Linked DNA regions of Pelodiscus sinensis. The protein of the gene in region 4 interacts with the protein of the main gene of each other region in a pairwise test. Links are inferred from orthologs where the notes say so. Each region holds a gene or a part of one and is shown on either strand. Other genes may lie near its edges.

Region 1 (7,055 bases), on a different chromosome or scaffold from region 4:
GAAATACCCAAACCGTGGCTGCCCGCCCTATGAATTGCTGTGCACTAGTGAGACAGCTGCCGTGTTTTGCCCCAGAAGTGGCTGCATATAAGTGTGGGGTTGGAGGTCTAAAGTGATCATCTGCCTAGCTGGCCACGTGCAACGCACTCTGGGATCCGTATAGACCTGCGACAATCACACGTCCTAATTAGATAGCACATTTCTTCGGAGGACCTCAAAGCACCTTCCAGCCTTGAATTAACTCACAGCACAGCCCTGTGAGGCAGGCACATTGTCATCATCCCTGTGACCCAGAGGGGAAACTGAGGCACGGGACGCACAGTTGTGTGCCCAATATCACACCACACATTAGGTGCCTAGCGGGGATTGGAATTCTAGGTTCCCGGCTGTGTGTATTAATCACCACACCATGTCACCTCCCTAAAGATATACAATTTAATCACTGTGGGTTTGTCTGGACCAGGGGTGGGGTCCCCTTAGGATCATGAAGTTACTACCGTACTACTGGGGGGGGGGGGGTCATGAGCTCACCCTCCACCCCACTTTGCCTCCAGGATTGATAATAGTGTTAAATGTCTGAAAAGTGTTTTGAATCAATGGGGGGGGGGGGGGGGGATGATGCTCCGCAGCTCGCTGTGCGAAAGGGGTCACCGGCTCACCCCACCAGTCTACACTGATGTGCAGGGGTGTGACTGCAGCTCACGGGGACCTACCTGCGGAAGCGTTAACCCAGCTAGTTTGGCTCCTGGAGCAGCGCGCCGCCAGCCCTGCAAGTCACTAGCCAAGGTCCCGGGCAGGCCTGTGTGGCCCGCGCTGGAGGCAGAGGCAAGGTTAAAGCAAGCTCAGGACTGGTCCACACAAGCTGCTCTCAGACCCTGTGACAGCTGTATAGCTACCCCGTATTCCCCGCTGGCTGGTCTCTCCTGCTGTCCTCCAGCCCCGTATTCCCCACTGGCTGGTCTCTCCTGCTGTCCTCCAGCCCCGTATTCCCCGCTGGCTGGTCTCTCCTGCTGTCCTCCAGCCCCGTATTCCCTGCTGGCTGGTCTCTCCTGCTGTCCTCCAGCCCCGTATTCCCCACTGGCTGGTCTCTCCTGCTGTCCTCCAGCCCCGTATTCCCCCCTGGCTGGTCTCTCCTGCTGTCCTCCAGCCCGTATTCCCCGCTGGCTGGTCTCTCCTGCTGTCCTCCAGCCCCGTATTCCCCCCTGGCTGGTCCCTCCTGCTGTCCTCCAGCCCCGTATTCCCCCCTGGCTGGTCTCTCCTGCTGTCCTCTAGCCCCGTATTCCCCGCTGGCTGGTCTCTCCTGCTGTCCTCCAGCCCCGTATTCCCCGCTGGCTGGTCTCTCCTGCTGTCCTCCAGCCCCGTATTCCCCGCTGGCTAGTCTCTCCTGCTGTCCTCCAGCCCCGTATTCCCCGCTGGCTGGTCTCTCCTGCTGTCCTCCAGCCCCGTATTCCCCGCTGGCTGGTCTCTCCTGCTGTCCTCCAGCCCCGTATTCCCCGCTGGCTGGTCTCTCCTGCTGTCCTCCAGCCCCGTATTCCCCGCTGGCTGGTCTCTCCTGCTGTCCTCCAGCCCCGTATTCCCCACTGGCTGGTCTCTCCTGCTGTCCTTCTGCCTCACAGGTCAGACGGCCCGTCGGCAGGGCACATACCCACGCAGAACTGACGAGGTCTGCTCCATACCAGTCTCCTGGCAGCAGAAATCCACAGTATCCCCCTGCATCCCAGAGAGCTCCCTCCAGTGCCTCCCTGCCTGGCAGTCCTGCACAGGCCCCTGCACCTGGCCTGAAAGCAGCTCCAGGAACGGAGCCAGCTCGTGAGGACTCAGGGAGTCGGAGGCACTGGGGTCACATCATTGCTGAGCCAGCCCCCAGGAAGGGGGAGGGCAGGAGCCAAAGCAGTGGGTCTCTCGGAGCATGGAACCCACTGGGGTTCCTCATAAGCCAAGCACATGGGTGGCTGCCCAGGAGAGATTAGCAGAGATCAGGTGCTGCCCAGCTGATTAGCAGCACGCCCACAGCCTCCCACAGCTGGCAGCACGTTTCATCTGGTGGTGCACATCTGCACATGCCTTTGTACACGTGACAAAATTTATTCTGCACATGGGTGGAGAAAGTTTGAGGGAACCCTTCTGGCGGGGGGGGAGGGAAGGGTTGGCCAGGGACATGATCTGGGAAGGGTTCTGTGTCTTACAAAGTGCGCTGCTGACCCCACCAAGCACATCGCACGCACACCGGGGATTTTGAGAGCGAACCGACAAGGACACTAACATTGGCAGGAATCTCTGGATCAGACGATTTCATATCAGCCCCATGGAGCCGCCCCGGCCCTGGGATCGGCAGGCTGGTTTCCAAGCCGATCTGTGCACATGGATTCCAAATGGATGCATAATTCAGCTTTAAACAGAGATCCCATTCCGACCACTGCCACGGGGCAGCTATTCACCGTCCCACAACACCAGCAGGATTTCCTTTCCACGCTGGGAGGCAGATCCCACCTCTGGCAGCTTCCCTCTGACCGGCTGCTCCTGTCTTGTCCCGCCAAGGAGCTGCCTACTAGTGTCAGCTCCTTGGTCTGCACCTGCCACAGATGAGTAACAGACCGGGCTAAGTTGGACACGGGAGGGCACCGTGGCTCCAGGCTTCTGGCAGGACGGCACCCATTGTCAGTTACAGCCTGGCACCTGGCTGGGACTCTCCAGGCACTTGCTGATCCAAGGCCCTTAAAGTCCCACCAGCGTGCGGGGAAGGGAAGTTTAGAGCAAATATAACACCAGAATTAGCACCCCCCCCCAAATCTTTGATTTAAAAAATCCCTTTTGTGTTAGTTTGAAAGTTTGGAAAGTTCCTCTCATACTCACCCATTGTGTCTGGGCTCAGTCAAGTCCCTCTCACCGCCTTCCCTTTTGTGCCTCTCTTTGTTCAGCCCGAACAAATCCTCTCTCTTCGCTTTACTTTTGCTCTCTGAATATCTCTGGCCTCCTCTCCCAAAGAAAAGGACTTTCTGATTGACAGCCAGCCCCCTTAAAGGGACAGACCACCCTTTTCTCCTCCCCCTCCTCCCATTCTCCCTCCCCTCTCCCTCCCCCTCATGAGAGCTACTCCCTCTGCTCCAGGGTAGCTCGGTCATACCCAGGGGTGGCCCTAGACGAGCTGCCAGCAACTGGCACCCTAGGCGAGCCATGCAATCGGCGCCCCCCCTCCAAACCCCTCAATGATATCGCAAAACCATTTGGAGCCCCATTTAGCTTGGCGCCCTGGGCGACTGCCTAGTTCGCCTATATGGACGGGCTGCCCCTGTTCGTACCCTGATGCCTCAGGCTGCCCACTTCTCTCTGCCACAGGTCGGTGCGTTTCCCTGCTGCCAGAAAGCCGGCACGCTGGCCCCTTCGCCTGGGCAGATCAGGCAGCTCTGCAGCAAAGTCCGTGCTTTTGGGAAACTCTTAAAGCACCTCCAAGCGTTTCTAGTCGTGGCCTCTGAAGGGACGAGCGGGTTGGATTTGATTGCATTGGCCATGGGTCTTAGCCGGGACACACAGACACAGAGCTCACCTGGGCAGGGGTTACATGTGGGATGCTAATTACTGTGACAGGGCACAGGTGGCTGAGCTCTCCTGGCCATCCCACATCCCCACTGGTGAAGAGTTTATAACCAGCCATAAAACTCCCCACCAGGCCTGGATCCGGGGACAGAAGCCGCCGCTCCCACAAGGGACCCAGGTGTAACTTGGTTTCTGTGATCAGAAGCTAGCACCAGGCGTGGGTCCCTACCCTTGGGGCTTGGTGGCTTGGATTTGGCACCTGAAGGTTCAAACTCAAGCCTAAGATAGTGAGAATCGGGGTCACTCGGTTTCAGGGTGCACTGGAAGGGAGGGGGCCAGATTCCATTTCCCCCCTTCAGCTCCTGAGTCCAGTTTTAGGGAGACCACAACTTTCCTGCCCGGGGATAAGGGAGCATGAAACGTGCCGCCAGGGGATCTGCTGGGGCTGTATCTCCCTAGGGAAACAGCATCACACAAGAGCTGGTGTAACACGGCGGAGTCAGGGCTGGGCTGGCCGCTAGCCGCTAGCATCCTGCTCCTCCACGCTCACTGATGCTTGACCGTCTTATGGGCTGAAGAATGCCGGGCCGTGCGGGCTCTGGGGGTGGTCCTTCTGGGCTCAAGAGATCAGTGGGACAGTAGGGCAAAGCTGGCGCTGCCCCACCGTCCCTGGGCTGTGGGTGGGCAGGATCCAGACCTGCCAAGCCAGCCCCACGCCCCAGCACTAACTTCAGCCAGGAAGAAAAGTGCCAGTGCTCCAGCCAGTCGCTTGTGGGAAGCCTTCCAGCCCTGCTTGCCGAGGTGACTTCGAATGGGGGCAGATCTGGCAAGGACGGGGGGATGTGCCTAGTGGTCCCCACTTGTGGGACTCCCTGCTGTAGCTAGAGGCTGCCCCCCGGCACCTCTCTGGCAGCCAGCTGGAAAGCAAGCAGCAGCGGGGCTGTCTGTTGGGTAGGGCGAGTCCCCTCTGGGGCCAGGTGGAACGTACAGCCCCTCGCACTAGATCTCCCTGGGGATCAGCCCCCCGCTGTCTGGATGGGCTCCTGTGGATCCCAGCGACAGCTTCCCCATGTCCCCCCAAAACCTGGACCTCTGGGCAGACCCTGGGATTCCTCCTCCAGGAAATGAGGCGCCAGCAGCCGCAAGCCCTGGCCATCACGCCCCTCTCTGTCCCCCTCCCCCGGTGCCCTGTCACTCCAAGTCCCCACCCCACTAAGACCCCCCCGTTCCCTGCAGTGCTGCCAACGCGGAGGGAGGCCAGCAGAGGGCAGCGTGGCCCTGCCAGAGGCCGCCATGTGCTCTCCGGTGGGCAGGGGGGAACAAGGCGGGATTGTCCGAGGCGGATCCATCTCTCGCCCTCTGTGCCAGGCTGGGAGGTGGGAAAGCCTCCGGCTCTGCGCTTTGCTGAGCATCAGGACCTGGCCCGGGGCCCATGGCTGCAGCAGCCCCGGACAGCACACCTCGGACAGGCACCTGGCCCTGCCTCCGCGCTGGATCTCAGCCGGGGCAGGAGCGGGAAAGCGCTGAAGGTCGCCGGGGCCGGGAAGGCCAGTCCCGTGGGCCCGACCCTGCCTGGCCCGCAGCAGCAAACACTCGGCCTGGCAGGGGGAGTTTTTCCCGCCGCCCCCACGGCTGTGCCTCCCCCATACGCACAGGTCGGCTCGTATGCAGTGGGGAGTTCCCATCCAGCTCTCCTGGCATCCCCTGGCACTAGAGAGGTCGGCATCCCCCCCCATTTAAATAGCTGTGTCCGGTCCTTCCCCCTCCAGCCAAACTGCCCACCCCCGCCCCACCAGGGGTTAGTGTTGGCGCAGGCCTCTGCTCCTAGCCGAGCGTTTCCCAAGCTCCGGGGCTTTCCCTCTGCGGAGAGGAGAAAACCTGGCCCTGGGAGGTGATGTGGTGGGGCTAGTCCTCAAGAGCCCCTCCCGTGTCACGAGCCACGTGTCCCGCACCACGCAAGGCTGCAGCCACAAGAGCATCCCAGAGTCCCGGCTGGGCCTTGTTACGGTGTGGTCGGTGTGGGTGTCTGGGAAGGGCCGACTGCCTGGGACAAGCCAGCCACCAACCAATCCCAGGTTCTGTCCCTCTTCCGCCTCGATCCCTCTAGGGCTGCTGCTCTGGGCGGGATGCTGAAGCCGGCAGTACTGGGGGGGTGAAGACAGGGCGAGACAAGCCAGCTGAGAAAATGAGGGACCACGAGAGCGAGGGAAGGCAAATAATTCCAAGTCTCAGCAGCCACCCCAAGCAGTCAGGCCCCACGCTGGGAGAGGATGGGCGGAGGGAGATGGCTTTGAGAGGTTCTGCTGTTTCTCATTGGTGGTTCCCCCGACATCTGTGCCAGTGAGAGCTCAGAAGATCTCCCCACCTGCCACCCCCCGACAACTGGGGATCCAGCCGTGTCCCCTCTACTCCCTGTGCCAGCCCCGGCACTAGCAGCCCTGGACGGGGAGGTCAGCCACTGCCAGTGACCACACACGAGGCCGGGCTAGCAGCATTGACACTGTCTGGGCTCGCGTGCAAACGACACTAATCTGCTGGGATGCAGACAGGCAGGTGGGGAGCAAGGGACCTTCTAAAGACATGCTGGATGTGAGGGGCGGCTTTGCCTCCAAGGGGACCTTGGTTCCTGGCCAGAGACACCGTTGGCTTGATCCTGTGCACGTGCAGCTCCTTCGGCTGGGCTCTCGGTAGAGCCGAGCCGGAGACTTACCTAGCAAGACCACTGCTCCCCGAAGAGCTGTGTACGTGGCCAGGGCAAAGGGCGGCTGCAACGGGGCAGGTTAAGGATGCGGCTGGTAGCCTGGATGCTTTTCTCAGCGATCCGAGGTGGGGAGCAAAGCCGGGCCAGCAGCCCAGGAGGGAACGGATGCGGCTCGGTCCAGCCACACGGAATTCCAGGCCTGGGGACTCAGAAGCAGAGCGGACGCTCTCCAGGGTCCAGAGAGATTCCAGGTTCAGGGCCTCCGGGGGCCGGTGTTACTCCAGGGAGGGAAATGGAAAATTTAAGAGAGTTGATCTCAGCTCCCACCCCAGCGCCTCTTGCCAGCCTGCCAGTTGGGTTTGGTGCCTGCTCTTGCAAAGGGTTTGAGCTTCCCATGCGAAAAGCCTGTGGCAATGTGGGAGGATTTCGGGGGCAATCAGGCACCCTCCATAGCACGGCAGGTGTCTCCTCAAGGCCTTGCCAAGAGCCGCAGGCAGTTTTCTGCAGTTTTCTCAAAGGTACCCTAAGGGCTTTCCAAAGCAATGAGCTAGACACGGGGAGTGCAGCGAGCACGTGGGCAAACACAGCCACCATTATGTGCCCAACAATAGCTCCCACACCGCCGTGGCTGTTCAGATCTGCTTCCCCGAGCAAGGGAGCGCTGGCCAGGATCTTCCGGCTGCCCCCTGCTCTTTGCCCGGAGTTGGGTGGGATCCTTCCTGGGCTAAGGAGCGCCCCATTACGGCTCCTTGAAGGACCGATCCCTCCTGTTGTGCAGTCCTCATGCATCAGCGCTGGGGGAATCCACAGTCCCATTCCG
Region 2 (7,211 bases), on a different chromosome or scaffold from region 4:
AAAGTTGTCGATATAATGGTCGTCTGTTGAGATGTGTTTTAGTAGTTAAATTCCTGGACTGTCATTGCGCATTAAAAGTGCCGTCACATGGGTGGAATTCGGTAAATATTGCATGTTATTAATATCAGGAGAACTGACTTCAATGGGGCCTGCATGTTGTGTAGTCTTGCCTTCATCTTTGTATTCATACCTGTCAGTGTGAAAGAATCTATTTGCATATATTTGCATATATATTTGCATGTACATGCAACCACACTTAAGTTGCGGCCTTCAGTATGTGCTGTGAGTCAGAGTTGTTGAGTCCCATGACTTGAACTCGAATCTGACTTAAGTCGCCGAGGTGACTTGACTTGAGACTCAACTCGGGTTCATTGTTTGTGACGTGAGACTCGCTAATTTTGTTAAATCGACTTGGTGAAAAAATTGTCTGAAAATGCCGATATTGATGGCTTGTACAAAAGTGTCTTGACATTTTTTAAATTAAGACTTGAGACTCGACTTGGGACTTGACTCGAAAGTGACTTTAGGGACTCGAGACTCGACTTGAGACTTGAACTGTAGTAACTTGAGACTCGACTTGGACTTGACAATGACGACTTGAAGACAACACTGCTGTGAGTATCATTGTGGCTCCCAGAGTTTCCAAAGTTGAGTAGCCCTGGTATACAACATTACTGTGCTATAGCAATGTATCATGCATAGCCTATCACCCCACACTGGTGGTTAATATCGTGTATGTATTAACACTCAATGCTGAATTATAGATGCTCCTGATATTACGACTTAAAAGTCTGTGCTCCAGCAAGGATTGAAGATAGCTATCAACCTGTCTCCAGTTTCAATTAAGCATTATGTAATCAAAGCAATGGGAGCCTTACTTACATCTGAACCAGCGGGGGAATGAAAAACTCACAAAAAGGGAAGGACAACAGGAAGTCATCCCGATTGTGGAGACAAATCAAAGAGGGAAATATAAGTAGGGATGTAAAATCCCATTGAATTATGGAGCTAGTTAAACTGGTTAACAGATTAAATGGGGGCCGCTGGGGGGGGCACTCCACCCTACTGGGCCGGAGTGGTCTCACTGCCAGCCACGCCCCGGCTTCTCCAGCTGGCTGCCAGCTCACAGTCTGTGTGGGTTGGGAGTCGGCAGCCTCACACAGGGCCAGAAGTAGCAGCAGGGTGGGGGGAGGAGGCTGACAGCTCCCAGCCCACATAGACTGACGGACCGCGTGCAGGAGTCTGCTCTCGGGTAGCAGTTAACCGTTACACGGTAAGCATCACCCATGCTCACTGGGTAACCGGTTACCAAGTTACCCATTCACATCCCTGAATATAAGTCGAAGGGGGGAAAAGCCATTACTTAGGGGGCATAGGAGCAACCCCCGGTGAAAGCAGGATCCCCTAGTCTAGAGGACTAAGGATGCTGGTAACTTGATGTAAGAAAGGAACCGGCTTAGGCACAGATCGTAACTTGCTAAGACTACCTTTTAGTCATGGGAAAGTGTGTTTTATTTTGCTTTATTTGTAACCATACCCATCTCTTTTTCTCTTATGTTAGTCTCATGTAAATGTCTGGTCTTTGTTGCTAAACCTATTCTTGATTTGTTACAGAACCAGCGCAGTGCTGCCAGGTGTAAGTCTTCAGCTCACGGAACAGGCTGATGTGTTCTCTGTCCCTTTGGAGGCAGGCAGCGAACCTGGTGACTTTGGTGAGGGAGAGGGACTGATACTGCAGAAACAAAAAACAGGACTATGTAGCACTTTAAAGACTAACAAGATGGTTTATTAGATGATGAGCTTTCGTGGGCCAGACCCACTTCCTCAGATCAAATAGTGGAAGAAAATTGTCACAACCATATATACCAAAGGATACAATTAAAAAAATGACCACATATGAAAAGGACAAATCAAATTTCAGAACAGAAGGGGAATGCGGGGGGAGGGGGGAGGTAAATGTCTGTGAGCTAATGGTATTAGAGGTGATAATTGGGGAAGCTATCTTTGTAATGGGTAAGATAATTAGCGTCTTTATTCAAACATGCTTAAATTTGACACTTTACACTCAAGTTTGAATAAGGACTCCAGCCCACGAAAGCTTAGACCCAAATAAAAGTTTCAGAGGGGTAGCCGAGTTAGTCTGTAACTGGAAAAACTTAAAAAACAATAAAAGTGTTTGTCTTTAACGTGCCACGGGACTCCTTGTTGTTTTAGTAATCACACAATGGTTCAGACGTCTGGGGCTTCTTGCATGAGAAATATGCAAATGAAGCTAAGAGTGGAATATTGCCAACCCTCATTTGCATACCTAATGAGCTGCCATTTTTGCAGAAGGGGCTCTTGCGCCAGAACGAGCTGTCTACACTGCCCCTTCTTGCGCAAGAAAAACCCTCTTGCGCAATGCCATTACTCCCATTATTTTCAGGAATAACGGCGTTGCGCAAGAGGGTTTTTCTCGCGCAAGAAGGGGCAGTGTAGACAGCTCCTTCTGGCGCAGGAGCCTCTTCTGCAAAAATGGTGGCTCATTAGGTATGCAAATGAGGCTCGGCAATATTCCACGCTTAGCCTCATTTGCATATTTCTTGTGCAAGACGCCGCGAGTGTAGACATAGCCTGGGAGTCCTAGACTCTAAGGAAAGAGGGTCAGAACGATCTCACCACGCTCTAAAAATGAAGGATTTTATTCTTGCTAATTCACGCCATTCACCACCGGATCTAAAGCCCATTGCAGTCGAAAGGAATCTTTCCTACGACTTCAGTAGCCTTTAGATCAGGCCCCTTGAGGGACCATTGCTCAAATCTTAGACTGGGGAAGATTTTATATCTCCATGTTTTTGGAGTCATTTTGGTTTCTTCCCCCGTACTCTAAGCTCTTTGGAATTACGGGCTGTTGCAATGGGGTCTGTCCATTCTCCAATAAAAGGATGCTCCCTGGTGAGAAGTGAAGGAAGACAGTTCCGGGCCTGGAGCCTTTGGTGGAAGATGTGGGGCAGCAGGATGCTGATTCCCGAAAGGGCCCATCAAGCCCCTGGCTATGTGTCATGGAGTGTGGGGGAGTCACCGGGCCCTGCACCCCATCCGCAGTGAGATGTGATTTTCAGCCAGCAAGTAAAACAGAAAGTTTCTTGGTTCACAGCGTGGCTCAGATTTGTTGTTACAGGAACCAGGAGCATTCAGCGCAGCCCATCTTGGGGAAAGCCCCAGCCCCCGGCCAGTTAGGTTCCCTTCTCCTCCAGCCAGCCGAAAACTAACTCTCACTCACAGCCACTGCTCCCAGCGCCCCAGCAGCCCCGCCTCCTCCTTGGTCCTTCTTCCAGGCCCAAGGTGTTATTTGTGGTCACCTGGGCCTCAGGACATGAGCGACTGCATAATGGGCTGTGCCCATGAAAGCTCATGATGCCATCTATATGTTTTGTTTGTCTTTTAAAGTGCTACGAGACTATTTTTTTTTTACGTTTATACTTCCACAGTGAGTCGTGCCGAGCCTTCCCCTCCTCATGCAGATAGTGCTGCAGTGCCCAGGGAAACTGAGGTGCGCGCGCACACACACACACACACACACACACACACACACACAGAGTTACTACAGAACAGCACAGGACAGTAGAATCACATAAAGCACAACAAAAAGCAAACTGAGTGCATACAAATCAGAGTGACGACAGCAGCCGACACAGTCCCCACTGTCGCACTATGGTCAGTTCAAGGGGGCGGCGTGGGAAAGTTGTGTCTAGCGCCGTACAGCACCGAGCACGCGGTCGGCATTGAACGGGCAGTCGTGTTCCTTAATGCTAATCGTCTCTCTGATCAGCCTCAGCCAATCATTGAGCAAAACTCAGGGGCGTGGGAATTCTGCCAGAGCCCCCCACCCCCTCCAAGTGGGGGGCAGCGTGCAGCCCAGAAGGTGCCCAGTGGGGCGAGCGTGGGAGAATGGGGCAGCCAGGCTGTGAGCTCTGGTCCTGAAATCCTCGTGGGGAGCTGCTCTGCCCTCAGCACCCCCCTTCCTCCTGCCCCTCGCCCTACCCCCTGCCGCTGCTAGCACGCCTCGTGCCCTGGGCTCAGCCAGGGGCGCGGCAGCAGCCCTGGGACTACAACTCCCATCACCCCCCGCTGCAAAGCTGCCGGCGTCGGCGGGGCCGCGCGGAGGCTTCTGGGAGCTGTAGTCCCCCGCGGGCGGAGCGGCCGTGGCGAGGCACGGCCGGCGGGCGGGGGAGGAACTACAGGCGGGCGGCGGCTGCTCCCCGGGGAGGTGGCGCCGGGACCGGCTCGGCGCGGCGCTGGGAGCCCCCCGCCCGTCACCATGCGCCTGGCCGCGGCCGTCGGGCTGGTCTTCGGCGGCTGCTGCAGCAACGTGGTGTTCCTGGAGCTGCTGGCCAGGTGCGCGGGGGGGCCCTGGGGGGGGCTGCGGGGCTGGGGCCCCTGGGGGGGTGGGGTGGGGTGGGGTGGGGTGGGGGATGGGGGGGGAGAAGGGCTGTGGGGCTGGGGCCCCTGGGGGGGGGAGGGCTGTGGGGCTGGGGCCCCTGGGGGGGGGAGGATGGGGGGGAGGAGGGCTGTGGGGCTGGGGCCCCTGGGGGGGTGGGGGATGGGGGGGAGGAGGGCTGCGGGGCTGGGGCCCCTGGGGGGGTGGGGGATGGGGGGGAGGAGGGCTGTGGGGCTGGGGCCCCTGGGGGGGGGAGGATGGGGGGGAGGAGGGCTGTGGGGCTGGGGCCCCTGGGGGGGTGGGGGATGGGGGGGAGGAGGGCTGTGGGGCTGGGGCCCCTGGGGGGGTGGGGGATGGGGGGGAGGAGGGCTGTGGGGCTGGGGCCCCTGGGGGGGTGGGGGATGGGGGGGAGGAGGGCTGTGGGGCTGGGGCCCCTGGGGGGGGGGAGGATGGGGGGGAGGAGGGCTGTGGGGCTGGGGCCCCTGGGGGGGGGAGGATGGGGGGGAGGAGGGCTGTGGGGCTGGGGCCCCTGGGGGGGGGGAGGATGGGGGGGAGGAGGGCTGCGGGGCTGGGGCCCCTGGGGGGGGAGGAGGGCTGTGGGACTGGGGCCCCCTGGGGGGGTGGGGGATGGGGGGGAGGAGGGCTGCGGGGCTGGGGCCCTCTGGGGGGGTGGGGGATGAGGGGGAGGAGGGCTGTGGGGCTGGGGCCCCTGGGGGGGTGGGGGATGGGGGGGAGGAGGGCTGCGGGGCTGGGGCCCCTGGGGGGGTGGGGGATGGGGGGGAGGAGGGCTGCGGGGCTGGGGCCCCTGGGTGGGGTGGGGGATGGGGAGGAGAAGGGCTGCGGGGCTGGGGCCCCTGGGGGGGTGGGGTGGGGGGGAGGAGGGCTGCGGGGCTGGGGTCCCTGGGGGGAGGAGGGCTGCTGGGCGGGGGGCAGAGCTCCTGAGCTTGGGCCCCGGGGCTGGGGGGGGGGGGGGGGGAGAAAGCAGGGCTCCTGGTGTGGCTCCTGGGCTAGAGGGGGCGGGCAGGGACAGGGCTCCTGGGCTAAGGGCTGGGGGCAGGGCTGCTGGGATGGGGTTGGAGCTAGGGGTTGCCAACTCTGACTGAAGTTATCCTGGGAGATTCCCCCCCGCCCCCCCTTCTCTCTCTCTCTCTCTCTCTCTCTCTCTCTCTCTCACATACAGAAAGAGAGAGAAGAGAGACCATTTTCTTACAATAGCCTATTAAAACCTCCAGGATAGCTTTCCTTGGGCGATTGACACCGATTCTGGAAGACTCCTGGCCAGTCCTGGAGAGTTGGCATCCCTCTCTGGGGATGGGTCAGGGATGCCTGATGTGACTTCTGGGCTGGGGCGGGGGGAGGGAGCAGGGCTTTTGGGCTTGGTGGTGGGGGAGGCAGCGGGGTACCTGGGCTGGTGTTGCTAAGGGATTGGCTGCACTGACACATGACTGCACTGTGACTTTCTTGCTCAGGGGTCTGGAAACACCCCCCTCCCCTGCTTTAGGGTACACTTGAGTCATGTTTCCAAGCTTTTCTCTGCAAATTTAAGTGGTGTCAATGAAAACAAAATATGTGAATGTATTCCCATGACTCAAGGAGCTCGGGCACTAAAAAGACCATGGGACTCATAGTAAAATCATGAGATCTGGCACCACTGCTCTGCTTCCGGTGCAAGTCACTGCCTCTTTCTGTGACTCGGTTTCCCCATCAGTAGCACACCAGTGTACCTACCTGGTATATATTGAAAGTTCCTGTGGTGTTTACAAATGCAGAGTGCTGTGCGGGGTTATTGGCATGTGGCAATGTTTTAATAGGCCGGAGCTGAGATCCTCCTCCTTAAAAGAATGAAAAACCTCAAAAAGGATTTTCTGGTTATCAAAAAAAAACGTGGAAAGCCATGAAGTTTCAGAATCAACGCTACAATCAGAAGAAAGCCAAACTATGAGTAGCAAGGTGCGGTGTGGGGTATCAAGGGCCTTTAGCAATGCCCTGAGAAAAAGCCCTCTCTGAGGTGAATTTGCCTCTCCGTTACAAAGTCAGCTCCTCACTGATCCAAGAGAAGAATTTTACTTCCAATCGTACAGTGGTTAAACCAGGACTGCACTTCTTGGTAGCCTTGCACAGTTCATAGAAAGATGCGTTTTACCAGCAGCATACTGAGGAAAATAATTTCTCCCCTTCCCCCTCAAATTTCCCTGTGCTACCAATAAGGGCAGTTCCATTAGACACAGACCTACCCATGTAGCTGTCAGTCCCAGGATATTAGAAAGACATGGTGAGTGAGGTAATATCTTGTACTGAGCCAACTTCTGTTGGTCAGAGACATAAGCGTTCGAGCTACACAGACCGAATGTTGGTTTTCAAGCCTTCTGGCCATCGGTCAACCAAATAAGGCCCCGGAGCCTTGAGGTTCAATATCAGGGATGCAAAACCGCAGCCCGGGGCCAGATGCAAACCCTAACTTATCCAGCCCATAAGGCTCAGGGCCTCCCTCCCCACCCAGCCACTCCACTGCGGGGCTGGAGCACATGTGTGGCCCCCAACTGATTTTTCTGTGGGCCAGCAGGCCCCAACCCAAAAAAGGTTTCTCACCCCTGTTCTATACAGCGGACTGAGTTGTGTAGATCCAGTTGCAGGATTAGAGCCTAAGATGACCACTTACAAAGAAGAGAGGTGACTGGTTAGCAAAGCTTCACACTTCACGTCACAAAGACATCCATATGAATCTAGTTAACCAACCTGAGTTGTGTGTGTGTCATGTTTTGAAACGTCACCTGAGCAGGCTGCAGGTAAA
Region 3 (6,822 bases), on a different chromosome or scaffold from region 4:
GGGCTCAGACTGGAGCAGGGGGTTGGGGTACAGGAGGGGGGTCAGGCTCTAGACTAGTTCCAGGGCAGGGCCAGAAATGAGGGGTTCAGAGGGCAGGAGGGGTTTCTGGCTGGGGTGCAGGTTCTGAGGCATGGCTGGGGACGAGGGGTTTGGGGTGCAGGCTGGGACTGAAGCGTTTAGAGGGTGGGAGGGGGATTGGGGTGCAGGAAGTCCTTGGTTGCAGGATCCACAGTTACCTCAAGCAGCTTCCAGAAACAACAGTATGGCCCCCAGCTCCTAACTGCAGGCTTGGCCAAGTAGCTCCATGCAGCCCATGGGAGCGGTCTGGCTGGTGCTGGGGGTGGGGACAGTATGAGGAGTCTGCCCCAGGCACAGGCGCTGGCGGGTGGACCTGAGGCTGCCCAAGAGCCATGCAGCCCCCCCCCCCCCCCCCAACCAGGCTTTTAACAGCCCAGCCTGTCTCCCCAGACACTCAGGTGGAAACCCAGCACCAGCCCCCTACCTGCCTGGGGAGCGTCCTGCCACAGGTGAGTTCCCCTCCCCCGCCAACGCAGCCTCTGGCGCCTCTGGATTTGTCTGGTTCCATCCACCAACTGTCAGCACAAGCTCGGCCTGTGTGGGCTGGGGAGGGGGCCAGTGCAGGCAGCCCCTCCCTTCCCCGGGGAGAACCCAGAGCCCTGCTCCCAGCCCCACACCCCTCCCCTCCCCCGGGAGAACCCAGAGCCCTGCTCCCAGCCCCACACCCCTCCCCTCCCCAGGGAGAACCCAGAGCCCTGCTCCCAGCCCCACACCCCTCCCCTCCCCCGGGAGAACCCAGAGCCCTGCTCCCAGCCCCACACCCCTCCCCTCCCCCGGGAGAACCCAGAGCCCTGCTCCCAGCCCCACACCCCTTCCCTCCCCGGGGAGAACCCAGAGCCCTGCTCCCAGCCCCACACCCCTCCCCTCCCCGGGGAGAACCCAGAGCCCTGCTCCCAGCCCCACACCCCAGAGCCCTGCTCCCAGCCCCACACCCCTTCCCTCGCCAGGCTGGGGAGAACCCAGAGCCCTGCTCCCAGCCCCACACCCCTCCCCTCCCCAGGCTGGGGAGAACCCAGAGCCCTGCTCCCAGCCCCACACCCCTCCCCTCCCCAGGCTGGGGAGAACCCAGAGCCCTGCTCCCAGCCCCACACCCCTCCCCTCTCCAGGCTGGGGAGAACCCAGAGCCCTGCTCCCAGCCCCACACCCCTCCCCTCCCCGGGGAGAACCCAGAGTCCTGCTCCCAGCCCCACACCCCTCCCCTCCCCGGGGAGAACCCAGAGCCCTGCTCCCAGCCCCACACCCCTCCCCTCCCCGGGGAGAACCCAGAGCCCTGCTCCCAGCCCCACACCCCTCCCCTCCCCGGGGAGAACCCAGAGCCCTGCTCCCAGCCCCACACCCCTCCCCTCCCCGGGGAGAACCCAGAGCCCTGCTCCCAGCCCCACACTCCTCCCCTCCCCGGGGAGAACCCAGAGCCCTGCTCCCAGCCCCACACCCCTTCCCTCCCCGGGGAGAACCCAGAGCCCTGCTCCCAGCCCCACACCCCTCCCCTCCCCGGGGAGAACCCAGAGCCCTGCTCCCAGCCCCACACCCCAGAGCCCTGCTCCCAGCCCCACACCCCTTCCCTCGCCAGGCTGGGGAGAACCCAGAGCCCTGCTCCCAGCCCCACACCCCTCCCCTCCCCAGGCTGGGGAGAACCCAGAGCCCTGCTCCCAGCCCCACACCCCTCCCCTCCCCAGGCTGGGGAGAACCCAGAGCCCTGCTCCCAGCCCCACACCCCTCCCCTCTCCAGGCTGGGGAGAACCCAGAGCCCTGCTCCCAGCCCCACACCCCTCCCCTCCCCGGGCCGGGGAGAACCCAGAGTCCTGCTCCCAGCCCCACACCCCTCCCCTCTCCAGGGAGAACCCAGAGTCCTGCTCTCAGCCTCAGCCCCAGCCCCACACCCCTCCCCTCCCCAGGCCGGGGAGAACCCAGGAGTCCTCTCCCAGCTGGGCTCTAGGAGCAAGAGGGAGCCCAGGGCTGGGCTGGCAGGAGTCCCAGGCGGATTCCACAGTCAGGGTGTGTCCCCAGCCCAGGGCCTCAGCAGAACAGGACAAGCAGGGCCAGGGTGGGGGTCATAGAAACTGACCTCCTAGAGTCTCCTCCTTCTGCCCTGCCTCAGAGTCCTGAGGGGCACAGAAAGCATCTCTCTTGCCCAGTGAGGGGGCTGGCTGGAGCTGGGCACCGTGGGGCCCAGAGTAAATACATTTGTAGGTGAGCCCCAGCGCCGTGACACATTGGCCTGGCCTGGCCGGGGTTGTGTTCCTGCTGCACTGCAGCACCCGCAAGCCTGTGCCAAAGGTTGCTTTCGAGTGCCAGGCGCCCAGCCATAGGGACCCCAGAATGCTGGTAACTCACTGAGCAGCCCCTCAGCCACCACTGACAGGGGAGGGGCAGCCCCAGTCTTTTATGGGCATGTCATGGGACATATTGCACCCTCTCTGGCCTGCCCCCCAGGCACTGCACAGTTCCCCTCCCCCCAGACCAGCAACCCTCTTGCCAAAGCTCTGCACAGTCCCCCTTCCCCCAGACCAGCCCCAGACACTGCACAGACCCTCTCCCCTCAGACCAGCACCCCCTCTGTTCCCCTTCCTCCAGACCAGCACCACCCCAAGGCACTGCAGAGCCCCTCCCCCTAAGCACTGCACAGACCCCCCCCCCCCCCCGATCAGCACACCCCTCCCCTGCCAGGCACCACAAAGACACCCCCACTTAGTCCCATATCGGCACCTCCCCTTCCTCCAGATCAGCACTTCCCTGCTCACCTGGTTCCATACAGACCCCTCTCAGATCGGCACCCCCCAGAATCCATCCTGTAGCATTTTAACTTGCCAGAGCACAGATTATCCTGCCCCTCCCCCCTTTTACAGAGGGGCAAACTCAGGCACTGAGCACAGGGGTAGCAGAAGCAAAGCCAACAGGAGAATCCGGGCACTGAACATGTCAGCTCCCAGGGTAGCCTGCTCACACAGGGCAGCTAAAACAATAGCCCTGGATCCTCAGCCCAGCTGGCAACTTACCCAGAGCAGAGCAGCCACAGCAATCAGGCAGCAGAGCTCAACTCTCCTCTGGCCCTGCTGGCTAAGTAGGGCAGGGCCCAAACCACACCCAGGCAGGTGGAGACAGGTCTGGCAGCCTGGGCTGGGCGAGGGAGGGTTGGGCTTAGATCCACAGCCTCAGGCAGCAGCAGGAATCTGGCAACCCCTGGGGGCCCAGGCACCAGGCAAATGAGTTTGGAGGCTGCTGCATGGCCCCTCTTGTGTATCAGTGCAGCAAAGGGTCAGTGGGGGCCAGGTCTCCTGGCCCCTCTCCCCAGATTGTGGAGGGGGATCTGGTGGGTTAGAGCAGAGCTCCTGAGTTCTTTCTCTGGCTCTGGGTTAGATGGACAGGGAGCTAGGGCCCTGACTTGTAATCAGTGCTTTTGGGAGGTTGTGGTAATACAACTGCAGGATTATACAGAGGGGCTGTGTCTAGACTGGCCAGTTTTTCCAGGAAATCAGCCGCTTTTCCAGAAAAACTTGCCAGCTGTCTACACTGGCCGCTTGAATTTCCGCAAAAGCACTGACTTCCTACTGTAAGAAATCAGTGCTTCTTGCGGAAATACTATGCTGCTCCCATTCGGGCAAAAGTCCCTTTTGCGCAAAACTTTTGCGCAAAAGGGCCAGTGTAGACAGCTGAGAGTTGTTTTCCGCAAAAAAGCCCCGATGGCAAAAATGGCGATGGGGGCTTTTTTTGCGGAAAAGTGCAACTAGATTGGCACAGACGCTTTTCCACAAAAAGTGCTTTTGCAGAAAAGCGTCCATGCCAATCTAGATGCTCTGTTCCAAAAATGCTTTTAACGGAAAACTTTTCCGTTAAAAGCATTTCCGGAAAATCATGCCAGTCTAGACGTAGCCAGGGTTAAAAGCAAAGTTCAACGAGGGATGCAGGGGCTGTGGGTCAGGAGTGAGGGGCTCCGGCAGGGCTGTGGGCGGGACCCAGGGGGCGGCCAGCATTGGGTTAGCAGGGGGCTCCGGGATGGAAGTGAGGGGGCCGGCAGGTGCTGTGGGTTGGGAGTGAGGGACTCCGGGAGGGCTGGGCTGGCGGGGGCTGTGGATCGGGAGTGAGGGGCTCTGGCAGGGAGCCCTGGGCTGGGAGCAGGTCCCAGTTGTCTGTAGGTTAAAAACATTCCCAACCCTCTCTGTCTCTGCGTGTCGGATGCTGACGTTACTCTGAAGTGCGAACCCTGGCACGGCCTAGCCCAGGGAGATAAAGGGGGAGGGCCAGTGCTGCCGTCCATGTAGGCTGGAAAAGGTTAAAGAGATGGTAACAGGTACCTCCAGCCCTGCCAGGAGAGCTGGGGAGCCCCATTCCCTCTAATAAGGGGAACTGTTGAGGGTAGGATGGAGCCAGCTGGGAGACAGGATTCCTGGCTTCTCTCTCCAGCTCAGGTAGGGAGTTGAGGTCTAGGGGTTATAGCAGGGGCAGCTGAAGTCCTGCTCCTAAATACTAGCCCAGAGCTGCCTTTCTGCAGCTGCAAGGAGAACCCAGTCATAAGCAGGAGGCACTGGGCAGCAGGGAATGGGGCAGGGGCTCAGCAGGGAACACTGCGCTGCAAGGAAGAGGGTGGGGGCCCACCAGGAGGTTCTGGGCTGCAGGGAGCAGGGGGCTCAGCAGGGGGCCCTGGGTTGCAGGGAGCATAGTGAGGGCCCCGCTGGGGGTACTGGGCTGCAGGAAGCAGAATAGGGTACAGCCCGGGGCACTGTACTGCAGGGTGGGGGCTCAGCAGCGGGTGCTGGGCTTCAGGGAGCAAGGTGGGGGCACAACGGGGGGTGCTGGGCTGCAGGTAGAAGGGTGAGGGCTCAGAAGGAGGTGCTGGGCTGTGGGGAGCAGGGTGGGGCCTCAGCAGGAGGTTATGGGCTGCAGGAAGCACAGGGCTCAGTAGAGGCTGTTGGGTTGTGGGGCTGAGCAGGGTCACTGGGCTGCAGGGAGGGAGCTCAGCAGGATATGCTGGGGAGCAGGGCAGGGACCCAGCAGGGGGTGCTGGGCAGCAGGGAGAAGGATGGGGACCCAGTAGGGGGTGCTGGGCTGTGGTGAGCAGGATGGAAGAATGGCTCTTGTGAAAAAGGGGATCTTTGTGCAAAAAGGTGCCATCTACATTGCACTTTTTTGTCCAAAAACCTCTTGAGCAAAAGGGAAAGGACGAGGAAATACAAATGAGAGTGCTGCATATGCAAATGAGTGCTCCATTTGCATTTGCTCTTCTGCAAGAGGCTTGTAATATAGACAAAGCCTTTGAGTTTAAGATGCTTCAGCCCCTGCCTCCCCCCTCTAATCCAGGTTATGTCTAGACTACAATGATCTATTGGGAAAAGCTTCAGGGGGTAGCTGAGTTAGTCTGTGCAGGATAAACTTAAAAAACAACAAATGGGCTGGTAGCACTTTAAAGACTAACAAAACATGGAGATAGGATCATGAGCTTTCGCTGTCATCTGAAGAAGTGGGCTGTGCCCACGAAAGCTCATGACCCCATCTACGTTTTGTTAGTCTATAAAGTGCTACCAGACCATTTGTTGTTTTCAAAGTTTATTGGGAAAAGGCACACAAATTGTGCTCCGCAATTTGCAAACTTTTTCATGGAAGGAGGAAGACAGGGCTTTGGAAAAAGCGTGTCTGGTCTTCTGGAAGAAGAGAGAAAAAAAAAGCACAGACATGTCCCCTGGACATGGCACAGTTTTTCTGGGAAACCCCCATAGTCTAGATGTAGCTCCAATGCCCCACCCTCTCCCCCGGGGCCTGGCACCTCCAGACCGCCTGCTCTAACCCAATGTCCTCCACTTCCCTCAGAGCCAGGCACCCCCAGCCTCCCTGCTCTAACCCAATGCCCTCTGCACCCCCAACCCCCCACTTCCGCGCTAACCCAATGCCTGGGTCTCATTGGAGCTGCCGCCACAGCCATGCACTTCTGCCTGTAGGTGCTGTGGCATGTGTGCAGAGCGGCTCAGAACTAGCAAGAGCCACATTGCTTTGAGCAAAGAGCCACATGCAACTCAAGAGCTGCGGGTTGCCCACACCTGGGCTGGGTGATGCAGGGGGAGGGGAAGGGTGGGCGATGCAGGGAGTTGGAGAAGCAGTGGGCCATGCAGGGGGTAGCGGGAGAGGGTTGGCAATTCAGGGGGTAATGGGAGGGAATGGGGGATGCAGGGGGAGAGGAAGGGGGGTAATGCAAGGGGAGGGGAAGGGTTGGACGATGCAGGGGGTAGCGGGAGGGGACGGGTGATGATGTGGGAGGGGAAGGGGGCAGGCAGTGCAAGGGGAGGGGAAGGGTTGGACGATGCAGGGGGAGGAGAAGGGGGTGGGTGACACAGAGGGAAGGGAAAGGGGTGGGCGATGAAGGGGGAGGAGAAGAGGTGGGCGATACAGGATTAGGGGTAGGGGGTGGTCCATGCAGGGGGCGGGGGAAGAAGGGGGAGGAGAAGGGGAAGCAGGGGGAGGGGTGGGAGGGTGATGGAGAGGAGTTGCAGTGGCTGGGTGATGGAGGGGGAGGGGAAGAGGTGGACAATGCAGGGTTAGGGGTGGGGGTGGGCCATGCTGGGGCCGGGGAAGGTGATGATGTAGGGGGAGGGTAAGGGGCAGGCAATGCAGGAGGAGGGGAAGAGGGTGGGCCATGCAGGAGGGGAAGAGGTGGGCGATGCAGGAAGAGGGTGGTCCATGCAGAGGGAGGGGAATGAGTGGGCGATTTAGGGATAGGGGAAGGTGTGGGCAATGCAGAGAGAGGGGTAGGGGGTA
Region 4 (7,995 bases):
ATCATTCATCTGTTTATATACAGCAGTGTTTCTCAACCAGTGGTATGAATACCCTTAGGGGTACTTGAGAGAAATCTGGGGAGTACGTCAACACAATTGAAATTTGGAGAAAACTCAATTTTTGTTTTAGGTTTTACAGTGTTTTATTGTTTTTGTACTTTTTACACCCAAAAATTTCATCACCTGCCCGGCTGCGATTAAGTTGTTTAAACAAACATGTTGCAAAGACAGAAAAAAAATTGTGTGTGTCTGAAAACTGTAGGTACTGGGGGATACTTATAATTTTTTTGAAGGGGTACTTTATTAAAAAAGGTTGAGAAACACTGATATACAGCACTGTCCCCAGGGGAATATGAGCTTAGAACATTTATGTTTTAGAAAAAAAGTGTAAATACAAAGCAGGATCTTTGAGCTGACAGACTTTTTCTCCTGAGACATTTTTAATCTCTAGGATGGAGAAGTCCCTGTTTGAATGTGCTGAAGTGTTTTTCCTTTGCAATTCAGACAAACAAGTCACGTTTACTTTGCTTGACCTTTTCTGATGACACGCCTACCTGGTGAATACAAACAGTAGCTCTGCCTCATACATGCACCCCGCCTGTATGAAAAGGGTGATTCTGAAAGGAGATTTCCTTAAACTAACTTAGGTGAAAAACTGGATCAGAGAGGCTTTATGCAATTCAGAGTAATTTGGTTTTAAAAATCATGGTGTGAAGTTTAGTGCTTATAAAAGTAACATGAGGGTTTGGTTAGTGAGGGCAGGAACAGTGCAAGCTTCCCCTATAATAGCTCTACCAGTGCACCTCAGTCTTGACACTAGCACTGCTGTTTCAGCCCTCAGTTCTGCTACTACCACCATCCCCAGTTTCACTGATACACGTTACCCATGAACAACCCTAATCCTTAGGGAGAAGGGCAGGGGAAAGAGCCCTCTTCCTAGGGCTTGTAAACATTATGGAGAAGATTAACCCTCCAGAGGTCGATCTTCTAGTGTTCAGTTTAGTGGATCTAGTGTAGACCACCCAATCAAATGCTGAGGGCAGCCCCCACCAGCATCCTGTGCTCCTCATTCTGAGAGGAGTAAGGGAAGCCTGGACAGGAGTGTGTGAGCCCATTGGCCTCCTGCAGTTTATCATAGAATCATAGAATACAAGGACTGGAAGGGACTTCGAGAGGTCATCGAGTCCAGTCCCCTGCTCCCATGGCAGGACCAAATACTGTCTAGACCAGTGGTCCCCAACCTTTTTAGGTTGTCGGGCGCCAGGGGGCGTGGCCGTTTGCCCGCCGGGCGCCAGGGGGCGGGGACCGGGGGCGCCCCCCCATCCACGCGCCCGGGGGCGGGGCCCCACCTACCGCGCGCCCGGGGGCGGGGTCCCCCCATAGCTGCATGCCCGGGGGCAGGGCCCCCTCTAAGGGTCGCGCGCCCGGGGCCGGCGCTCCCCGCCACCCCCACCCTCCCGCCGAGTCCCGCGCGCCCGAGGCCAGCGCTCCTTCCCCCCCCCCCGCCGAGTGCTGCGCACCCGAGGCCGCCGCTCCTGCTCCTCCCCCCCCCCGCCAAGTGCCGCGCGCCCGAGGCCGGCGCTCCTGCTCCCCCCCCCCCCGCCGAGTGCCGCGCGCCCGGGACCGGCATTCCCCCCCCTCCTGCCGAGTGCCGCGCGCCCGGGACCGGCGTTCCCCCCCCTCCTGCCGAGTGCCGCGCGCCCGGGACTGGCGCTCCCCCCGCCGCGCGCCCGGGGCCGGCGCTCCCCCCGCCGCCTCCCGCCGAGTGCCGCGCGCCCGGCGCTCCCCCCGCAAGCGCCCATGCGCCATGTGCCCGGGGCCAGGCCAGCCCCGAGCACCTGGCGGGCGCATTGAAATGCCCCCGCGGGCGCCATGGCGCCCGCGGGCACCGTGTTGGGGACCACTGGTCTAGACCATCCCTGAGAGACATTTATCTAACCTACTCTTAAATATCTCCACAGATGGGGATTCCACAACCTCCCTGGGCAATTTATTCCAGTGTTTGACTACCCTGACAGTTAGGAACTTTTTCCTAATGTCCAACCTAAACCTCCCTTGCTGCAGTTTAAGCCCATTGCTTTTTGTTCTATCCTCAGAGGCCAAGATGAACAAATTTTCTCCCTCCTCCTTATGACACCCTTTTAGACACTTGAAAACGGCTATCCTGTCCCCCCTCAATCTTCTCTATTCTAAACTAAACAAACCCAAATCTTTCAGCCTTCCTTCATAGGTCATGTTCTCTAGACCTTTAATCATTCTTGTTGCTCTTTAATCATTCTTGTTTAGATGCTGCAGTGGCTCAGCTTAAGGTAAGCCGAATCCAGCTATGCATTTTGCTGGTCTAGTGTAGTCCAGTGTGCTTGTCGCTGGACTACTCATTCTTTTAGGCAGCACCAGAAGTGATGAGGAAATAAATGTCAGTCTTCTGAGAGCAAATGGGTGCCCTGGGAAGAAGGTCAGAGAAGCCCTAAGGAAACTCATACCACTGCAAGAGGAGAATAGATATTTCCAGCTTCCTTGGGAAGGATCGAGTGGAGCCCTTTTCTCCTAGCTTTTGAACCACATGAGCAGACCTCTAAAACCATCAAGAAGGGACTCTTTCACCAGACAAAGTGTAATGTAGCCATACTGCCCATGTGTAGCCCTGTGTCCCCACATTAGAGAGCTGGATCTGAGGTGGCTCTGTTACCAGAGACTATGGACGGGGAGTGTAAGGTTTTTGTTCTGTTTTGTTTTGTTCTGTTTCCATTGTCTCCTTGTAGTGGTTATGAAGTACGCACTGTGGACATTGCAAGTTTCTTCCTTTTTTCCTGTGTTAAACAATTAGTCCCAAATACCTTCTTGTTTTTGTTCTTGATGTAAGTGACAAGCTGAAAGTCTTCTGGAATCCTAGCCCAATTCTCTGCTCACTATTTGTGTCTATGATTTTCATTTACATTAAGGCCACTTTACTCCTCATGGGCAGCAGAAAGGGATTGGGAAAGTGAGAGCAAATGTAATTTAAAGTGGCTATAAGCCCTGGTTCTCGCTCACACTATGGAGCATGTCTACACTGGGGAGTTATTTCAAGATAACTCCCCTTATTTCAAAATAACAAGGCGAGCATCCACGCTACCAACCCTGTCATTTTGAAATAATGGGCTTGTTATTTCAAAATAATAACTCCTGCTTGTGAAAAGGAATAAGCATATTTTGAAACAGTTATTTCAGGAGTTATTATTTCGAAATAACTTATTTTGAAATAACCTAGTAGTGTAGACATAGGCTATATGTGCAGAGAATTTGCACATGGGGACTAGTGTGAGGGACATTCTCTGGTCTTTAGGATTTAGGATTAGCCCTGAGACCTGGTGGAATCAAGAAAAGAGTGTGACTATGAACCTTCAGTTGTTGATGGCATCTCAAAGTCTGACACAAACGCAAGTGTCCCCAAAGCGCCTGTCTCCTACTGGTCAATTTCATCATTTTAAATTATTCTTGTAGTTGGAAGTTGGCAGCCAAGTGTCCTTTGGGAGAAATGCACCTTCATTCTCTCTGAAGAATTGGTTCCCCAGACATAGATGAAGGATTCTTTGGGCTACACTGGCTGAGCCATGAGGGTAGGGATTGAGGGATACCAGAACTGCTTCAACAGGATTATTCTAAGAGGTTTTCCTAAGTGTTCATCAGAGTGAATATCAGAGGGGATAGGGATTTATAATCCTGTTTATTTGAAGACATATAATCTTCCTGAAGCTCTTAAATGGTGCCTGAATCTTTAATTACAGAGCTGCAAGATGGGATGCTGCTAACAGGCCCCCCTGCACTGACTTTTGCTGAGGGTAATTGGCAATAAGTAGTCACATGAACATTAAGCTGACGCTAGGCTTGGCTATCTTAGGATAAAATATTGGCAGATGTTTAACAGTGAACTTGCTTTGGCAGTCAGTAAATGTGGCCACCCCTGTTCTAAGGTAATGAAAGGAATACCTAGGGCAGGGCTACTCAACACGTGGCCCATGAGCTGCATGTGGCCCACGGTCCATTTGTTTGCAGCCCATGATGTGGTTTGGGTTTACGTGGTGCTCAACATGTGGCCTGCGGGTGGGAGCCAAAGCAAAAAAATAATCAATATAGTGGTTTTCCGTTGATATGCATTTTAGCATTTAAATTCCTGGACTGTCATTGCTCATTAAAAGTGCTGTCACATGGGTGGAAATCTGGTAAATATTGCGTTTTATTAATATCAGCAGAACCAACTTAAATGGGGCCTGTGTGTTGTGTAGTCTTGCCTTAATCTTTGTATTCATGCCCATCAGTGTGAAAGAAGCTATTTGTATATATATGTGCATGTATATGCAACCACACTTAAGTTGCGGCCCTTGGCATGTTCTGTGAGTATTATTGTGGCCCCCGGGGCTTCCAAAGTTGAGTAGCCCTGACCTAGGGTGTTGGAAATACACTACTGGCTCAGAAGAGTGCCACCTAGTGTATCATCCCCATAATAGTGGTAGGGAACCTTGTGCTGTAGCAATTGGTATCCCTCAGTAGGAGATGCTCTCTGGGAGTACAGAGCCCAGTGCCCTAATGTGGTGCTGCAGAAGTTGTCCTTGTCAGAGTCATTGGGATGTCCAGGAGAAGTTCTAGATTGTGCTGGGGACACACATTAGCACTGGGCCCTGCAAAGGCGGAGCAGTCAGCCGTGGCCTGGCTGCCACTCTTGCATGCAATGGTCTTTCACAGCTTTCTCCCTCTTACATCTCCCCACAATGGCTTCTGTCTGTGTTGTCCCCCAGGCTGTCTGGGGCCTGATAGCTGCTCAGATCCTCCACGAGCCCAGTTCCCTGCCCTGGCTCTGGGTAGGATGCGCCCACTGTCCCTAGCTCTGTGCTGTCAGTGTGAGAGCAAGGGAGGAGCAGGGCATTGCACCAGAGCTTCCTTAAGAGGCTGATCAAGGAGGGGAGTGCTGCCTCGCAGAACCTTTAATATTCATGAGCTAGGGGGCGTGATGTCCAGGCCGGCCAGGCGGCTGAGCCTGGGGATCCTCGGCGGAGTGTGAAAGTGACAGCTGGGCAGAGGGGAGTCCCGGCGGAGTGCACCGCCCCGCCTTCCTCCTGCACGGCTCCAGGAGGCAGCCCGGGCCCCTGCCCGCGCCCGGGGGGTTCGGATCTGCCCAGCCCCAGGCGTGGCACCTTTGCCCCCCTGTCCCGTCCTCAGCCGTCGGGGGACCCCCAGCAGCCCCCGCCTCTCCGGGGAGCCCCTGTGCCCCCGCGCCCTATGGATTGCCGCCGTCCCTTGGGAGGAGGAGCCATGTGCAGTCGGTGCCCGGGGCCCTGCCATCGGCTGCACCGGGCGGCGCGGGAGTAACTCCGAGCCTGGCGGGTCTGCGGAGGGAGCGAGGACGCCCCGGCTCCGGCCCGCCGCGCTGGCGGGAGGGCGGCTCTGCGCCGCACCTAACCCCGGCACCATGGACAGTATCCTGGAGCCCTTCCCCTCCGAGCGCCTCTTCCCCGGAGGCGGCTCCGGCTTCCTGGACCTGGGCGACCTGAACGAAGCGGATTTCCTCAGCAATGTGGTAAGGGCGCCGGCCGGCGGTGGGCGGGGGCTGCCTGGGCTCGTCCTGCTTGTCCTGGGCTCCCCGCCAAACGGCTCCTACTCGTGCCGGGAGCCTGGGCAGCGCAGCGCCCCTTTTCCTGCACCTGGCTGCAGTCCTGAGCGCCCCCTGGGCCTCAAAGCTCAGCCAGCTCAAGTCCTCTGGAGCTCCCCCCCCCCCCACACACACACAACTCCTGGCACCTCCTCTAGGGGATCGGTCGTCTCAGCCCCTCTAGTAAGATCCATGCCATTGTTTTTGAAACCGTGTCTAATAGGGATCCCGCAGCAGGTCCTGGGGTGTAATTCCGTGGCATAATTAACTCATCCCACTCTAACTGCACTGGAGAGTGGAGACCCTAAAGCTGTGGGGGCAGCCCTTCTGCTGCTATTTCCCTTGCTTACCTGCTTTTTGTAAAATGACCTGGGGGTGAAACATCTGTTGCTTGGCTAACACAGTAGCGATTTACTTTAGGGGGAGGACGAGTGAACTAGGACTAGATCTATTTAGTGTGTCAAAAGAGAGTATTTGTCTTTAAGAAGATTGTCCAGACTTTGTGTACTCATGTCATGTAACTCACATGTACAGTAGTTCCATAGGAGGTCGTTATCCCAGATGAGGAATTCAAACTTTGTTGTTTGTGAGCAAATGTAGCTTTGGATTATCTGGGGTTATCGTCCCAGTAAAAGATAAAACAGTGACACAGAATCTGGTTTGTTCTAAGTGTAACATGTTTTATTTACATGTACACCAGTCCTGGAACAGAGATGGTCACAAACAGCATGGAAGTAATACCTCCTTTCAGGCCTCTCCATGGCCTGTCTCAAGAATTGACTCCAGTTAGAGACAAAGGATATGTCAACATCATGGAGGGACTGCAGCACATGTACACATGCCTAAATTACCTTTGATCTAGCTAACTCAATCAATATCAGTGAATTCCAGCAGCAAGGGACCCTGATGATATATTGGAGTGACTAACCTGTACTGCAGCAAGTCTTCTATAAGTTATTTGAGCTAAATAGAGCACATCTAGCCTACTGTTTATGAGTGGAGACGGCATACCTCTAATTGCAGTGTAGACATACCCTTAGGTTGAGAGTAAATTCTTCTTCTGCTTACACAGCTCATTCTACCTAGAATCTTTGCATGCCAAAACTAACCCACGCACAGCAGGTCTTCTCAAGACAGAACATTTGTTCTCAACCTAAGACCTGGTCTGCATACATTTGAAAGTTTTACTTGTGTAATTATTTTAATTAGGAGTGGGATCTCTGCCGCCCCCTCAGTAATACTGGTAAAAGCCTTTGGATGGGATGAAGTTATTCTAATATAAAAGTCCCTTGCAGCAAATTAGCTTATTTTTATATAAGAATAATATAAATCATTATATGTATTTTTATGCCACTATATCTGGAGCCGCATTAGGGGAGTTGTATAACTTAACTATATCAAATAGACTATACCTACTGCCTCATCCAGTGATACCCACCATGACATGATATTTACAAATGTGTACTGACCATATGCATTGTGTTAATTTCCTGACTGATTAAATTCCATCTCTGTTCTGGCAGTGACTGTAAAACTGACCTGAGGAGTCATCCATTTTCATTATTTCTCAGTGACTCTAGATTTATTATGCTCAATTGACAAGTAAAAACTTTTTTTTCCATTTACACCACAGACTACCCTGGGGATCTGAGACTCTTTGTTCTTGTGCAGGATCAACAATAAAGATTCTGTAATCTTAGTGCAGATAACAAATCTGTTGATGATACCAAAGCCAGAATGTACTGGAATCTAATTCACCCTTTGTGTAGTGGATCTGCAGGGAAAACTGCCATAAAAAGGAGCAAAGATTAACTTTAGGAAATCCATCAAATCTTAATGGGACGGGATCTGTTGATTAAGAAGATCTCATTTTTACATAGTTGCTTTTCAGAGTATTGTACTTAACATCAAAGCACTAGGGTTGCATGGTAATCCTTAAAACTGTCAATGATTTTTCTTTGGAGGGAGAGATGAGGTTCAATATGGAGACTCTTCATGTAATGCTCAGCAAATGTAGTTCCCTCTAAAGAAGTTGAGTGAGCATTGAGTTCACTAAGAACCCTTTCCTGCAACAGTAACCTTCTTTAGTTAATCATCTTGTCACTTAAGCAGTAGTTTATAAAATCTAAGTCTGTTACAAGATGAAATAATTGGATCATAGGTCTAAGGTGCATCTTGGAATTAATAAATTAATGTGTTTGAAAAGGGATGTTTGAAAGAGAACAGTGTTATTTGTCAGAGGATGACTGATATCTAGTTTAAAAAGCATAAACATGGCTGGGTCTAATCAGTGCTTGGATGGGTACACACAAGGGAAAAGGTGTCCATGGAAAATGTTCCTTTTGTTCACTGAGATGAGCATATTACTA

Evidence for each region.
Region 1: the proteins of CREB3L1 (region 4) and PLP1 interact in binary tests that used the Homo sapiens proteins (3 or more experiments, as listed by UniProt). The two-hybrid records come from large-scale screens. The link is inferred for Pelodiscus sinensis from reciprocal best matches to the Homo sapiens genes CREB3L1 and PLP1.
Region 2: the proteins of CREB3L1 (region 4) and SLC35B4 interact in binary tests that used the Homo sapiens proteins (3 or more experiments, as listed by UniProt). The two-hybrid records come from large-scale screens. The link is inferred for Pelodiscus sinensis from reciprocal best matches to the Homo sapiens genes CREB3L1 and SLC35B4.
Region 3: the proteins of CREB3L1 (region 4) and FXYD domain-containing ion transport regulator 3-like interact in binary tests that used the Homo sapiens proteins (3 or more experiments, as listed by UniProt). The two-hybrid records come from large-scale screens. The link is inferred for Pelodiscus sinensis from reciprocal best matches to the Homo sapiens genes CREB3L1 and FXYD3.

The regions. Positions count from the first base shown.
Region 1 is NC_134723.1:4,500,397-4,507,451, forward strand, and holds the start of PLP1 (myelin proteolipid protein), read right to left. Parts: upstream 3,009-7,055; 5' UTR 2,858-3,008; coding exon 2,854-2,857; intron 1-2,853.
Region 2 is NC_134711.1:5,046,387-5,053,597, forward strand, and holds the start of SLC35B4 (nucleotide sugar transporter SLC35B4), read left to right. Parts: upstream 1-4,204; 5' UTR 4,205-4,300; coding exon 4,301-4,377; intron 4,378-7,211. UniProt on the Homo sapiens protein: Antiporter that transports nucleotide sugars across the endoplasmic reticulum (ER) membrane in exchange for another nucleotide sugar.
Region 3 is NC_134734.1:6,495,982-6,502,803, forward strand, and holds the start of FXYD domain-containing ion transport regulator 3-like, read right to left. Parts: upstream 3,010-6,822; 5' UTR 2,867-3,009; coding exon 2,820-2,866; intron 594-2,819; coding exon 503-593; intron 1-502. UniProt on the Homo sapiens protein: Associates with and regulates the activity of the sodium/potassium-transporting ATPase (NKA) which transports Na(+) out of the cell and K(+) into the cell.
Region 4 is NC_134714.1:83,758,371-83,766,365, forward strand, and holds the start of CREB3L1 (cyclic AMP-responsive element-binding protein 3-like protein 1), read left to right. Parts: upstream 1-4,986; 5' UTR 4,987-5,446; coding exon 5,447-5,554; intron 5,555-7,995.